Danio rerio: one gene and its partner. The protein of the gene in region 2 interacts with the protein of the main gene of each other region in a biochemical or structural test. Links are inferred from orthologs where the notes say so. Each region holds a gene or a part of one and is shown on either strand. Other genes may lie near its edges.

What was found.
Region 1: the proteins of tbp (region 2) and brf1b form a complex in vitro, tested with the Homo sapiens proteins (2 studies listed by BioGRID). The link is inferred for Danio rerio from reciprocal best matches to the Homo sapiens genes TBP and BRF1.

The regions. Positions count from the first base shown.
Region 1 is NC_133195.1:23,361,064-23,369,703, reverse strand, and holds the start of brf1b (transcription factor IIIB 90 kDa subunit), read right to left. Parts: upstream 5,510-8,640; 5' UTR 5,268-5,509; intron 4,315-5,267; coding exon of another isoform or gene 4,122-4,314; exon of another isoform or gene 4,110-4,121; intron 3,321-4,109; exon of another isoform or gene 3,252-3,320; intron 1-3,251. Other genes in the region: ckbb (creatine kinase, brain b), read left to right, coding at 4,122-4,314, 6,441-6,595, 6,693-6,825, 6,950-7,121, 7,403-7,526, 7,607-7,796, 7,875-8,053.
Region 2 is NC_133188.1:27,610,667-27,614,797, forward strand, and holds the start of tbp (TATA-box-binding protein), read right to left. Parts: upstream 2,801-4,131; 5' UTR 2,729-2,800; intron 2,288-2,728; 5' UTR 2,207-2,287; coding exon 2,153-2,206; intron 1,304-2,152; exon of another isoform or gene 1,219-1,303; intron 1-1,218. Other genes in the region: zgc:153169 (uncharacterized protein), read left to right, coding at 3,649-3,709, 4,014-4,131. UniProt on the Homo sapiens protein: The TFIID basal transcription factor complex plays a major role in the initiation of RNA polymerase II (Pol II)-dependent transcription.

The sequences.
Region 1 (8,640 bases), on a different chromosome or scaffold from region 2:
TGATCCCTAAACCTTACCTTTGAATGGTAGTGTACTTGCGGTAAGCGTCTAAGTGTAGTTATATTTAAAATCACCTTTCAAATGTGTTTTGAATATAAAATAGATTTGAATAGATTTAAATAATTTCTGTCCTCATGATGGCTAAGTAGTGCTGATTTAGCCTCTCTACAGAGCTTCAGAGAGGTGACTGAGAAGAAGGAGGGGTGAAATAACGAATTAAGAGTGATGCAAATGAGACATGTGAGAAGAGGGAAGGGGTGATTTTGACAGCTTCCTGTCAGGAGGTCTTGACAGACAACATGGCTACGAAGAAGACAGATTTTGTTAGCTGCTAGCAGTGTAAGATAAAACGATCTGAGGAAGGGACTCGGTTATTCTGCTAATGCTTTGTGAGCTCGAGGTGACAATTTATGTGATATGCTGATACAACTGCTCCTTTGCTGTGCTTTAGTATACATGCTGTGCTGTGTGTCCATCAATATAGAGTGGTTGCAGGGATGACGTAAACCCAGTTGATTAACTCACTACTGGTTCCCTCTAAATTTTCCTACAGGAATTCATAATGGGTTTTTTCAATTAATGTAAGGTCTTGTGGTAAATGCAAGTCAACGATACTTGGAAAGTAAATCACACACATCCATATCCAAAACTAGAATTTTAAAGCTGTTGTGTTTAGTTTTAAAAAATAATTAGATACAATTAGATAACTAGTCAACATATGCTTACCACACAATTTATTTGACTCATTAATTAAAAAGCTCCCCATAGGAAAATCTCAAGAGAACCAGCTGCAAATTAGTCTTCTGAGTTTTGTTGTCATCCTTGCAGCATTCAGCCCATTGTTTTGCATTTATAAAAATGTAGTGGTGAAAAGCAAAACGTTCTGCAGTGGACTCTCTTTGACATCAGCACTCTCAGCATTGGTCTCACCCTGTCAAAATGTGACTGCTGCACTACGATGCACTCCCTGAACCTGGGAGAAAAAAAAAACACTTCACAGGGTTGAGGGGGGGAAACACTGCCATCATGAATACTCATCAGACACAGCCTTGGGCTTCAGTCGAGACACATTCTCTCTTTTTCTGATTGCACATTTCTATCAAAGAATTTGTACAATATTTCAAAGAAAATATGGAAGTGAAAGCTCTTTCTTTGTTGCCCATTAGCTAATGCTAATATGAAGCATCGTGAAATGTGTACGAGATAATATGCTAATGCTAGGTTCAAATCAAGATGTCAATGATAATGTGCAGGTGATGCAAATGCTAAGTTCAAGTCCAGACATTATGAAATATGCACAATTTGTTATGCAAATGCTAAGCGCAAATCTAGATATCATGAAATGTTTACTATGCTAATGCTAAATTCAAAACAGGACATCGTGAAAAGTGTACACATTGTTATGCTAATGCTATGTTCAAATCTACACATCATGACGTGTACAGGTTATAATAATCCAGCATTTAAATCTAGATGTGGTTAAACGTGTGTCGTACTTCAGTGATGCCGGCAACAGAGAAAAACAGGGGTGGCCATACTGTACGTTCTAGGATGGTAAAGAGAAACAGGAAGTGTGAGTTTATAATTGCACAAATGACAGTATAATACAATGTGTAATTTCAGACAAAGCAGGAGGTAAAGGCAGCAGAAACAGCACTGAACTGCAGTAAAAGTCATGCACAGTGGCGATGGCATTATCTGCTCAGCATGGATGTCTCTCCATGAGCCCACGGTTAAGCTCCTCGCAGAGCTTACTGTACACAGGAGACTAAAGCGGTGTCTCCAGTAAAAACATAGCTTTAACTCTTAATAGCAACAAGCACAGAAGCAAGTATATCATTTCCTTGAAACCAGGTGGCCTCTTAAATCCAGGAAATTCACCAGGTTCTCATTAGCACTGAGGTAAAGTCTGTCTAAAACAGCAAAGCTTCAAAGTCTGGTAAGATATTTATGTAAGGCTGTTATAGAACATGTCAACATTTTAGTGTCTGTGTCACTGGTTTGGTTTAGACCATAAATACAGTACAAACTAGCATATTGTGAAATATTGTTAAAGAGTCTGTTGTAAAAGCTACATTTTTATTATCATTACTCCAGTCTTCGATGTCGCACGATCCTTCAGAAATCATTCTAATATTATGATCCGCAGATAAAAACGTGCATTTTTATTATTTTTGTAAACAGTTTTTTTGAAAATCATGACATATTTAATGACGGGTTACATCAATTAATGAATTCTTCTGATATTGGCAGGGGCGTAGCAATGAGGGGGGACGTCCCCCCTCACTTTTAGAGGCAGATCATTAAAAAAACAGGTGATTAATAATTATATGAATGCAAACTTTGATCAAATTTAGCTGTCCCCCTCCACTTTCAAAATGTCCGCTACGCCCCCTGAATATTGGGTATTAATTTTATTCAACAAAAACATTACTGACCCCATACTTTTGAATGCTACTGGATATTTGACAAGTCAGTGAATAGAGGATTAGATAGTAAATTAGATTAAGGATTGAGTTACATTGAAATATAAACTATTTAGGATTGGCGATTTTATTTAGAGACCAAAGCATTTTGTTACAGTACTTCATATTCATTTGTGTAGAGATAATATCAAACATATCATGTGACACTTGACAAGACAAAGCGCTTGTAGACAATTTCAGCTTCACATGGTCCAGAGGACAACAACATGAAACCAAAAATACAGGTTAAACACAATTCGTTTCCTTGTAAAAATGAAACCACACGCACACAACGCCAAACTGATGATTCATTACTGTGTAATGAAATGGAGAACTAAAAGAAGGCGGGCAGATACTGTACATGGAGTTTATAGGATAAATCCACCCTGAATTATGAGCAATGCTTCATTGTCAGACTTTGGGGCTCAGGTCATACATTAATAGATTCTTACTGAGTAAATCTGATTTGGGTCATCCCTTGATCAGTACAGGTTGAATTTGTTTATGATAAACACAACTGCCTCTTTTTAAAATGCTAAACACAACATCTATGATTATTAATAAATGAATGTGATCGAATTCCACAGTTTTTATTGTCAATCATGCCAAGGAGAGCCGTCAAGGAAAAACATCATGTGATCAATGTAAGCAAATACTGGATGTTGTGGATGTGATGCGACGCGCTGTCCAATAGAATGAATGGACTCAAATAGCGTCCAATCAGAGGAGAGCTCGGGCTTGATATAAAAACCCCACAAAGCGGCTTATTTCTGGACACCATTATCAGTCTTTGTGTGGTTTCTGGTGGACTTTAGGAAGGATTAATTCCGCTTTCCCAAAGAAAATCGGTATAAGGTATGGTTTTTGCTTGAAATTATTAAAACAAGCCTTTATTTTTTTATTTACGTTCATTAGATGTGATGTAACACATCTACCAGATCGATTTGTAAAAACAAACATTCACGGGCTGTGTATTAATAATTTAAGCGTAAGGAATGCATTTATATTCATGCCTAATTCGTGTTTAACTTCTGCTCGCAATTTGCAGTGCGCTTTGTTTCCGTATGCTGTTTATTAATCGTTTGGAGAGCCCAGTAATATAAATACATAAACATGTAAACCATTTAAATGATATTTATAATCCAACTTAACGTGGATCTGTGCATGGCCAGGTGCTTTTGTCCCAAACATCAGCAACGACCTTGCAGTCAGCCTCCTTTTTTCTGCAAGGTCTTTGGAGACGTGGCGCATTACGCATTCGCTTGCTTCAAATAATAATACATGATTTCACTGCAAACTCATCGTAATGCACAGACGACATTACATAAGATGCGAAATCTACATGCATGTGAACGCATTTATCATATGACGCGTCATTTAACGGACGCGCGCTCGACATTCCATCATATTTACTGCCCGCGTGACACAACGCGCCACCGAGCACAATTGCCGTTATACACGACGACTGTTTAAGTGCTCAAACCATTCAAGCGAGTTTAAACAAAATCCTCCGTTGTACAAAATGTGCTTTTAATGCTGTTACGTCATTATTAATGCAGCTGAGAGGGGCTGGCTTTGTCCTCGTGTTGGAATCGGATTTGTTTCGCTTCTGACATGCACTTATTTCCAATTCTCTGCCCTCAGGTAGACGCAATCATGCCTTTCGGTAACACTCACAATCTGCTGAAGATGAACTACTCCGCCGAGCAGGAGTATCCCGACCTCACCAAGCACAACAACCACATGGCGAAGGTGCTGACGCCCGAGATGTACGCAAACCTTAGGGACAAACAAACCCCCAGCGGATTTACCCTGGATGACGTCATTCAAACCGGAGTTGACAATCCAGGTAAAGGACCTGGACGCGATGTGCACACCCTTTCAAGTGTTTTAGACTTTGTGTCCGAATGAGTTGTGGCTTCTAGCTCGTTTGTTAGATTTGCTCGTCCATATGCCAACAACCTACAGTATATTTAGCAGAATGCACCTGAGGGAGGTGTTGTCTGCCTTATCTGTGGTAAAGTGATGACTCATCCCCTACTACCAACATTTCTCCAATCAAATACTTTCTACAATCAATGACCGTGTCCCTCTCTTCAATACAAGTGGCAGGTTTCCAACCCTGCAACTCAAGCAAACTCCTTCAGTGTATGAAGTCTGTTTAGTATACAAGTGGGATTTAATTATTGACAAAATTGAGCTTCTCAACAGAAGCTTGTAAAAACTAGCTATCTGGTACTTCTGAGTTTATTGATGATGAAATGGTTGTATACAACAGTAGTCCTTATTTATTTTGCCCTTTTGAAAGCAATCAAACAAAGGTTATGGTTCATTGTGTAATCACATTGACCGATAATCCGCTTAATTTGCTGGGTCTTTCAACAGTGGCCCTCTGGTGTAGCGGTCTATATTTTTTATTTCCCCCCCCCCATTAAGTTAAAGTTTTAGTTTCTCACATTTTAGTAGTCTAAGGTCATCTCGCATGACCTTGGATTTGATCCTTTTATAACTTTTTTTTTTTTTCTTTTTCTTTTTAATAGTTGGCTGCTCTTCCAAGTAGGCAGTGGCAAGTTTCATGTAGTAATTTTTTTACATCAGCACTTTTATAAGCAAAATGTATGTACAATCTTGAAGCTTGCACAATATTGGGTCTGTGCGATTGCCAAGTTGACACTTGGTTTGTGAAATTTTTAATTTTTTTTTTTTATACTGTGACATCTCATTTTGTGACAGGAAAATGCATCAAATACTAGTGGATCTAGTACAAGGCCTAAAAAAATACAAATTTTTTTTTTGACTTACCATGTTTGTTTTTCTTCTGTTAGGCATTGCTTTTTAATAGTAGTTTTCTATTCCAGTCTGTTTTATAGATGTCTAAATCTACCCAATAGATGGATGCCTAAATCTACAATGAAATGCTCCTAATTTAAAGTTGGTTTCCCCAAAAGGGGTTTCTATAATGTTATTTAGGGTGCAAGTCGGTCTATTAATGTATTACAGAAGTATATTAAAGGTCTGTAGACAGCCCTGCCTATCTCGTGTGTGTGACTGAGATATGCTTTATGGCATGCGTCACATTTTACTCATCACCTAAGTGGAGTTGGCCAACAGCTTACTAGAACATGTGACCATATGCAAGTCTCAATCCATTACACACTATGGCAGAACAAGCAAAGAATCCAATGAAGGGGTGATCGATGTGAGCCTGAATGCTAATCTATATCTGACAGTTGTACACCTGTACTTCATGTCTGAATGGATATTCGAATAAAATAACTTGAATGTTATTTACAGCCTTGAGCTAATGACAATGCCCTATGAACATTAGGATGTTTGTTTAACACTGGAAACCATGTCCCCCAACCAAGCAAAGGTGTTAAACCCAGTCAAGATTTCCACATTTTTCAGTTCTGTTGGCTTATGGTCAATCGGTGTATTGCGCTGCTCATCGGGAGGCTTTTTAAACAATCCCAGAAGATTGAAAATAAGGCCATCAGGATCACAGCAAACATTTCGCACAATCGACAGACTTCTTTAACTTGCTGGTATTTCCTAAATTAACCAACAATTATCCAAGTTGCACAAATTTATTATTTTTATTTATTTATTTTGTTTAATGTAATTAAAGTAACTGGAGCCTTTTTAAAATGTAATTTAATTACAAATACTAAATGTTTTGCAGTCTGATTGCATAATTTTAGTTAGTTTTTATACTTTGTGTATTTTACACATGCAAAAAAAGTGAACTTGATCAAAGGTGCTATGTTTACACGCAACAAAGGGAGAATTGTCTCGTCTCATGATTGCTGCAAGGCAAACCATGCGAGGATAAGCTTGATTTGGTTATATTAGGCTTTTGCCCCTGAAAAATCTGTTTGCCATCAGCGTATGAGAAATTTGAAAGAATTCTTTTGTTTTTCAATCGCTAAAGTTGGGGGTTTTGTCTGACTTGTGTTTTTTATTTTTGTCTTTCAGGACATCCTTTCATCATGACGGTGGGCTGCGTGGCCGGAGATGAGGAGACATACGATGTGTTTAAAGAGCTCCTGGACCCCGTCATTGAGGACCGCCATGGTGGATATAAACCCACAGACAAGCACAAGACTGATCTGAACCCAGACAACCTCAAGGTATGCTATTGAGTCTGTCCGTCTGCTGCATCTAATTGGGTTTAACGTTTCAAAATAGTCAGCGGTTAATTTAGCGGCATTGGTTTTCTTTTAATAGGGCGGAGATGACCTTGACCCCAACTACGTTCTGAGCTCCAGAGTACGAACCGGCAGGAGCATCCGCGGCTTCTGCCTCCCCCCTCATTGCAGCCGTGGGGAGAGACGCGGTATCGAGAGTCTGTCTGTCGAGGGTGAGCTCCTTTAGGCTTTTGTTTTCATGTCAAGTCGAGAGCAATGGTTTAGGAGTGGTTAGAAACCCATGTGATTTAAGTATCCGTTGATTTGGTGGTTGTGACTTATCCTTTGACTTCACAGCTTTGGGGGCTCTTGATGGTGATCTCAAAGGAAAGTACTACGCCCTCAAGGACATGACGGAGGAGGAGCAGCAGCAGCTGATTGATGACCACTTCCTGTTTGATAAGCCTGTGTCTCCACTGTTGCTGGCCTCTGGGATGGCCCGTGACTGGCCTGATGCCAGGGGGATCTGGTGAGTAAGCGCGTCTTTGTAGCTAGCTTTTTATTTATTTATTTTTATTATTATTATTATTATTATTATTATTATTATTATTATTTATTTTTTTATTTGTATATAGTTACAAGATGGATGCCTTTTGGCATATAAGTTTATATTATAGTTTTACAGAATTTATTTAAAATTATAATAAAAATAATCGTCATTGCCATTCGATTTTTATTTAAAGTGGTCATCTCATTGAATTCTAGTTGGTCTTCCTACATTATTTTTTATTTATTTTTAATGCTTCATAGGCACAATGACAATAAGACATTCCTAGTGTGGGTGAATGAGGAAGACCATCTACGTGTCATCTCCATGCAGAAAGGTGGCAACATGAGGGAAGTCTTCAATCGCTTCTGCACAGGCCTCACAAAGGTTTGTTTTTAAATAATCTGTCTTTTAAATCATTTCTATACACTGCATTTCTTAATTTACCCTCTTACTTGTGGTTGCAGATTGAGGAACTGTTTAAAGAGAAGGGCCATGAGTTTATGTGGAACGAGCACTTGGGCTACGTCTTAACCTGCCCCTCCAACCTGGGCACAGGGTTGCGTGGTGGCGTTCATGTCAAACTCCCTAACGTAAGCAAGCATGAGAAGTTTGGTGAGATTCTTAAGCGACTCCGGCTTCAAAAGCGTGGAACAGGTACTTTTTCCACTTTTAAACTGCTTTGTCTCCTATACACCAAATGGTCTCCAGTACTAACCTTGCTCTCTTCAACAGGTGGAGTTGACACTGCTGCAGTAGGTGGTGTGTTTGACATCTCCAACGCAGACCGTCTGGGCTTCTCTGAGGTTGAGCTGGTTCAGATGGTGGTGGATGGAGTTAAGCTGCTTGTAGAGATGGAGAAACGCCTGGAATCCGGCCAGTCCATCGATGACCTTATGCCTGAGCAGAAGTGAACACTTCGTGACTCCTAACTTAACTCCTTCCCTGCCTCCACCAGTCCTCCCTTCCTCCAGTACCAATAATCTTAACTACATCAAGGAACATACACTCCACCCAAACGGTAGTGGCACTAAAGTTAGACCAGTCTTCCATCAGTGTGAAGGATTTTGTATCTCAAACGTCCTGCAATGTTGAAGATGGAGCTTAACACCAGAAATAAAGTCTCTTTGGCCCATGGAGTTTCTTGTGTACATGTGTCAATGCTTGCTTAAAGATGTTTTTGTCTCCAGTTGGAACAATCCAATGCCAGGTCAGGAGTTTTAACTAATGTTTTTTGGGGATTTTTTTTCAAACGTTTGAATTTGTTTACAAAACGTAGGATAAATGTGCTAAAGGTAATTTTTGTATATGAGAGGTCACTAATTCGCTTTTGTATAGGAAGGAACCAACTGTTTTTGTACTATTGCAGGTAAGGCCCTTTTTGTTAAGCAATTGTCTACTGCCACATAGTGGCTATAATAGAAAATGCAACCAAATGAATGTTATTTATTTATTTTTTTTACATTGCTTAATCGTTATTAGAGCTTTATATTCTATTTTT
Region 2 (4,131 bases):
GTCTACAAGCTGTATATGGCCTAATAAGCTCGCTGACATAGGCGGGGGCAGAATTGTGCAAAGCTTTATAAGTGAAAAGAAGAATTTTAAAAGCAACCCTGTATTTTATAGGTAGCCAGTGCAATGAGGCGAGGACAGGGGAGATATGATCTCTTTTCTTAGTTCCTGTTATTAATCTGGCGGCTGCATTTTGGACCAACTGTAGCCGAAAGAGTGTTGACTGAGGTAGGCCAATGTACAAAGAGTTGAAGTAGTCTAACCGAGAGGAGATTAAAGCATGGGTTACGATTTCTAAATCTTTTTTAGAAAGAAAGGGTTTAACTTTTGCCACCAATCTAAGCTGGAACAAACTGCTCTTCACAACCGCATTTACATGTTTGTCAAACTGCAAGAGTGGATCAAAGATAACTCTGAGATTCTTGACGTGATTGTGCAGATTGTCGTTTAGGGCTCCTAGCTAAGTTTTAATTGAATTGTTGGTAGCAGCAGGACCTAAAATTAACACTTCTGTTTTATTCTTGTTTAGTTGCAGAGAGTTATTTGTCATCCAGGTCTTAATGTCGGTAAGGCATAGGAAAATATTTTCTAATGATAAATCTTTTCCTAGTTTGATTGGAAAGTATAGTTGGAGATCATCAGCATAGCAGTGATAGCTTATGTTATGTTTGAGGAGTATTGAGCTTAAAGGAAGCATATAAAGAGAAAATAAAAGAGGGCCAAGAATAGATCCTTGTGGAACACCACAATGAATAGGTTTAGGTGGTGAAGTAAAGGATCCAATATTTACAGAAAAAGATCTCCCCTTTAGATATGAGGAGAACCACTGCAAGGCAAGGCCCTGAACCCCAACAACACACTCAAGTCGTTTCAATAATATGTTGTGATCTACGGTATAAAAAGCAGCGCTTAGGTCTAAAAGTATTAAAATCGCAGATGATCCAGAATCCATGAAGAGTAAAATGTCATTTGTGACTTTTAGTAGTGCAGACTCAGTGCTGTGTTTTGCTCTAAAACCAGATTGTAAAGGGTCTAGAATATTAAAAATGTCCAGGTTAATTGTGAAACTACAATTTTCTCTAAAACCTTTGAGAAAAATGAGAGCTTAGATATGGGCCTGTAGTGGGCAGGCACAGCGGGATCAAGATTAGGCCTCTTTAATAGAGGCTTTACAACAGCATGTTTAAAGACATCTGGAAAAACCCTGTTTATTAAGGAGCTGTTTATTAAAGCTAAGAGTGAGGGGCAGATTGTATCTAAAACCTCTTGAAAAAGACGGCAAGGCAGTACATCTGAAGGACAAAAGGTGAGTTTCATCTGAAAAATTTTATTAAGTAGCTGAGAAGAAGATACAGGCTGAAAATTTGTGAAACTGTTGGATGGAGGGACCGAATCAGAATGATCTATGTCGGTGGGAAAGAGGTGTGATTTAATATCTTGTAAAAAAGTCAGAGAACTTTATGCACGTCTCCAGATTGACAACAGGAACAGAGCACATAGTTGGATTAAGAACTGAATTAATAGTTTTAAGGACTATTTTTTAATAGTTTTAAGGACTTTTGGCTTACTTGCACTTTTAGTAATCAAATTTGAAAAATATTTAGATTTAGCCTCACTGACCGAGTCTTTATACGAAATTTATAATTTATGGAAAAAAACACCTCACTGGCAGATTATTTAGCTTGTTTTAGGGAAAATCACTTAATATTTCTACTAACAGTGAAAACAAAACAATTTTTTTACTTTACTAATTTTTTTTTATATTTGGACTGGAAACAAGACAGTGTAAGAAAAGCATTTTTTTCTACTGTGGTTATTCAGTTTCTGCACCTGAATACTGATAGACTCATTCATCTTGTGAAATGGTATTCGTATTGCTTTATTTAGCATAGAAAAACAAAGTATCGCAATATCCGACTTTTCCATTATAGTGCAACCCAACCAACTTTTACAAATCTCTACTGAAATGTAAAAAAAATGGCTACTGGAGTTTGTTCCTGTATCTTTTTATGTTTCCACAGAATTCTTCAGAATATCTTGTTTTCTGTTCACCCACAGCAAGACGTTTATAAATGTTTATAAGCACTTGAGTATAGGTAAATGAAGAAATGTCATTTTTGGGAAAATCCCGTTAACTAAACAATCCATTCCTCACCTGTGGAGATGCCAGACCTTGAGCGAAAGGAGGTAGGCTGTTGTTCTGCTCCATGCTGACGGGTTATGAAGCAAAACAACAGAGCAGTGGTTCAGGGCTTCCCTATAAAACTTCAGTGGCTCCAAAAGACGTAAACTAAAATGAACGAAAAAAAGATACAAATTAACAAATATTAAAAATCCGATTACACACAACAGTGCAGACACGATTATAAAAATCCCAAGTGCACCTAAATAAACAGACATGCACAAGAGAAAATTTAATGCAATATCTGAACGTTAAATTAAAAGAACACAGTAACGTTATTCTGGATTTATAAAGAAAGTATAATACGTAAATTGACCAACAGTACGAGGACCTACAGAAACACTAAATAATAGAATTCCCATTCAAGAGAACAGAGTTGACAATGTTAAAGAGGTGATAGTGAGCAGAACAGGAATGCAGCACAGCGTGTTTAGCGAGGCTAATTTTGGAGCTAACTTTAATATGTTCGTTAAAAACCCAAGCAGTTAACACTTGTAATACAGTTCTCCGTCTAGAAACAGTGTTAGATCAAAGGACAGCCAAACAAACCGATAATTCGCAGGATCCACCGGTTGGCTACGAGCTGAATAGTTCCAGAAGCGCAGGGAGCGCGCAAAACATGAGACTTCACAACAACTTCCGCCGTCTTTAATATGCGCTTCCGGTGCACTATTAGCTCGCATGTTCAAATCAAATTTGTGATATTTTACATATAATCCTGTATGCTTGTCAGTTATATGCTTCAATACAAAAAATATATATTTTATATACCATTTTGATGGATGTAAACAAGAACAATGATCCCGATGTATTTCCTGTTTTACATTTTTAATTTCTATAGTTTCAGAGAATGCAAAACTGGTGAATACATATTGCTAAATAAGGTTATGACAGCTGTTTTAATGTTAATTTATGATTGAATTGCCTAACATTACAGTTATGAAATAGTATGATAACAAGCAGGAAAATGTTCATACTTGGGCCAATGACATGACCACATTGAAATAGTCGTTTTATTGTGCAAAAAGGGTAAACGTTAAAAATGTACCTATTGTTTTCTTTATATTTTTTTTACAATAAATAAATCTAAAATCTTTAACGTATTATTGCAATATACATTATTGTGCATTAATTCAAATCACTGCATTATTGCTTAATTATGTATGAAATTGAATCAAAATACAAATTTTATTGAAAGTCAGGCCATGTCAAAAAGTCAGTTTATGTCACTTTAAAAATGACACATTGTGTACATTATGCATAGTATGGCCCTTTAAACTGTCTTTGTAACGCATAGACTTTTATTTTGAAATTGTGCTTTAATAACCCCCGGACGTAAAACTGTGTTTTAAAGTCTTACAAACGATGGAAACGAACTTTTCCTGTACATAAATAGATGTATTTCAATACATTTGTGTCAAATGGCAGCTGTGGGAACATGGTCTTTCTCTCGCCCTGCAGTGGACAGAATGAGAAGTTTGCTGCTAGCTGGACAAAACGCTACAGATGTTGTAGAAACTGCAATGGCAGGTAAATCTGACACCTGTTTGCGCTATCATCAGCCAACTGCATGGACTTTTATTATTTAAAGTCGGCTGGAACCTCTTGTGAACGATGGATTAAAATACTATTCTTATTACTGATTCAGTTGTTAGATAAATCTTTCTCCTTATCTATCTTATTTGCATAACGTTATTAAAAAATTTAGCAGACTTTATATAATATGTATTTTAATGATGCCATGTATAAGTAATAGGCAACTTAGTTTTTAACAACAACAACGAGTATTAGTGGTATAAACGCATAAGTGTTTTGTTTGCTTGTTTGCTTTTAGAAGTTGAAGATGACTTAGACACTGGACGACATATTGTTGGTGGCAGAGGAGGATTTCCAAATGCCACAGGAGTAGTTGAATGTGATGCTGCTATTATGGAAGGTTTGCCAGGGAGATT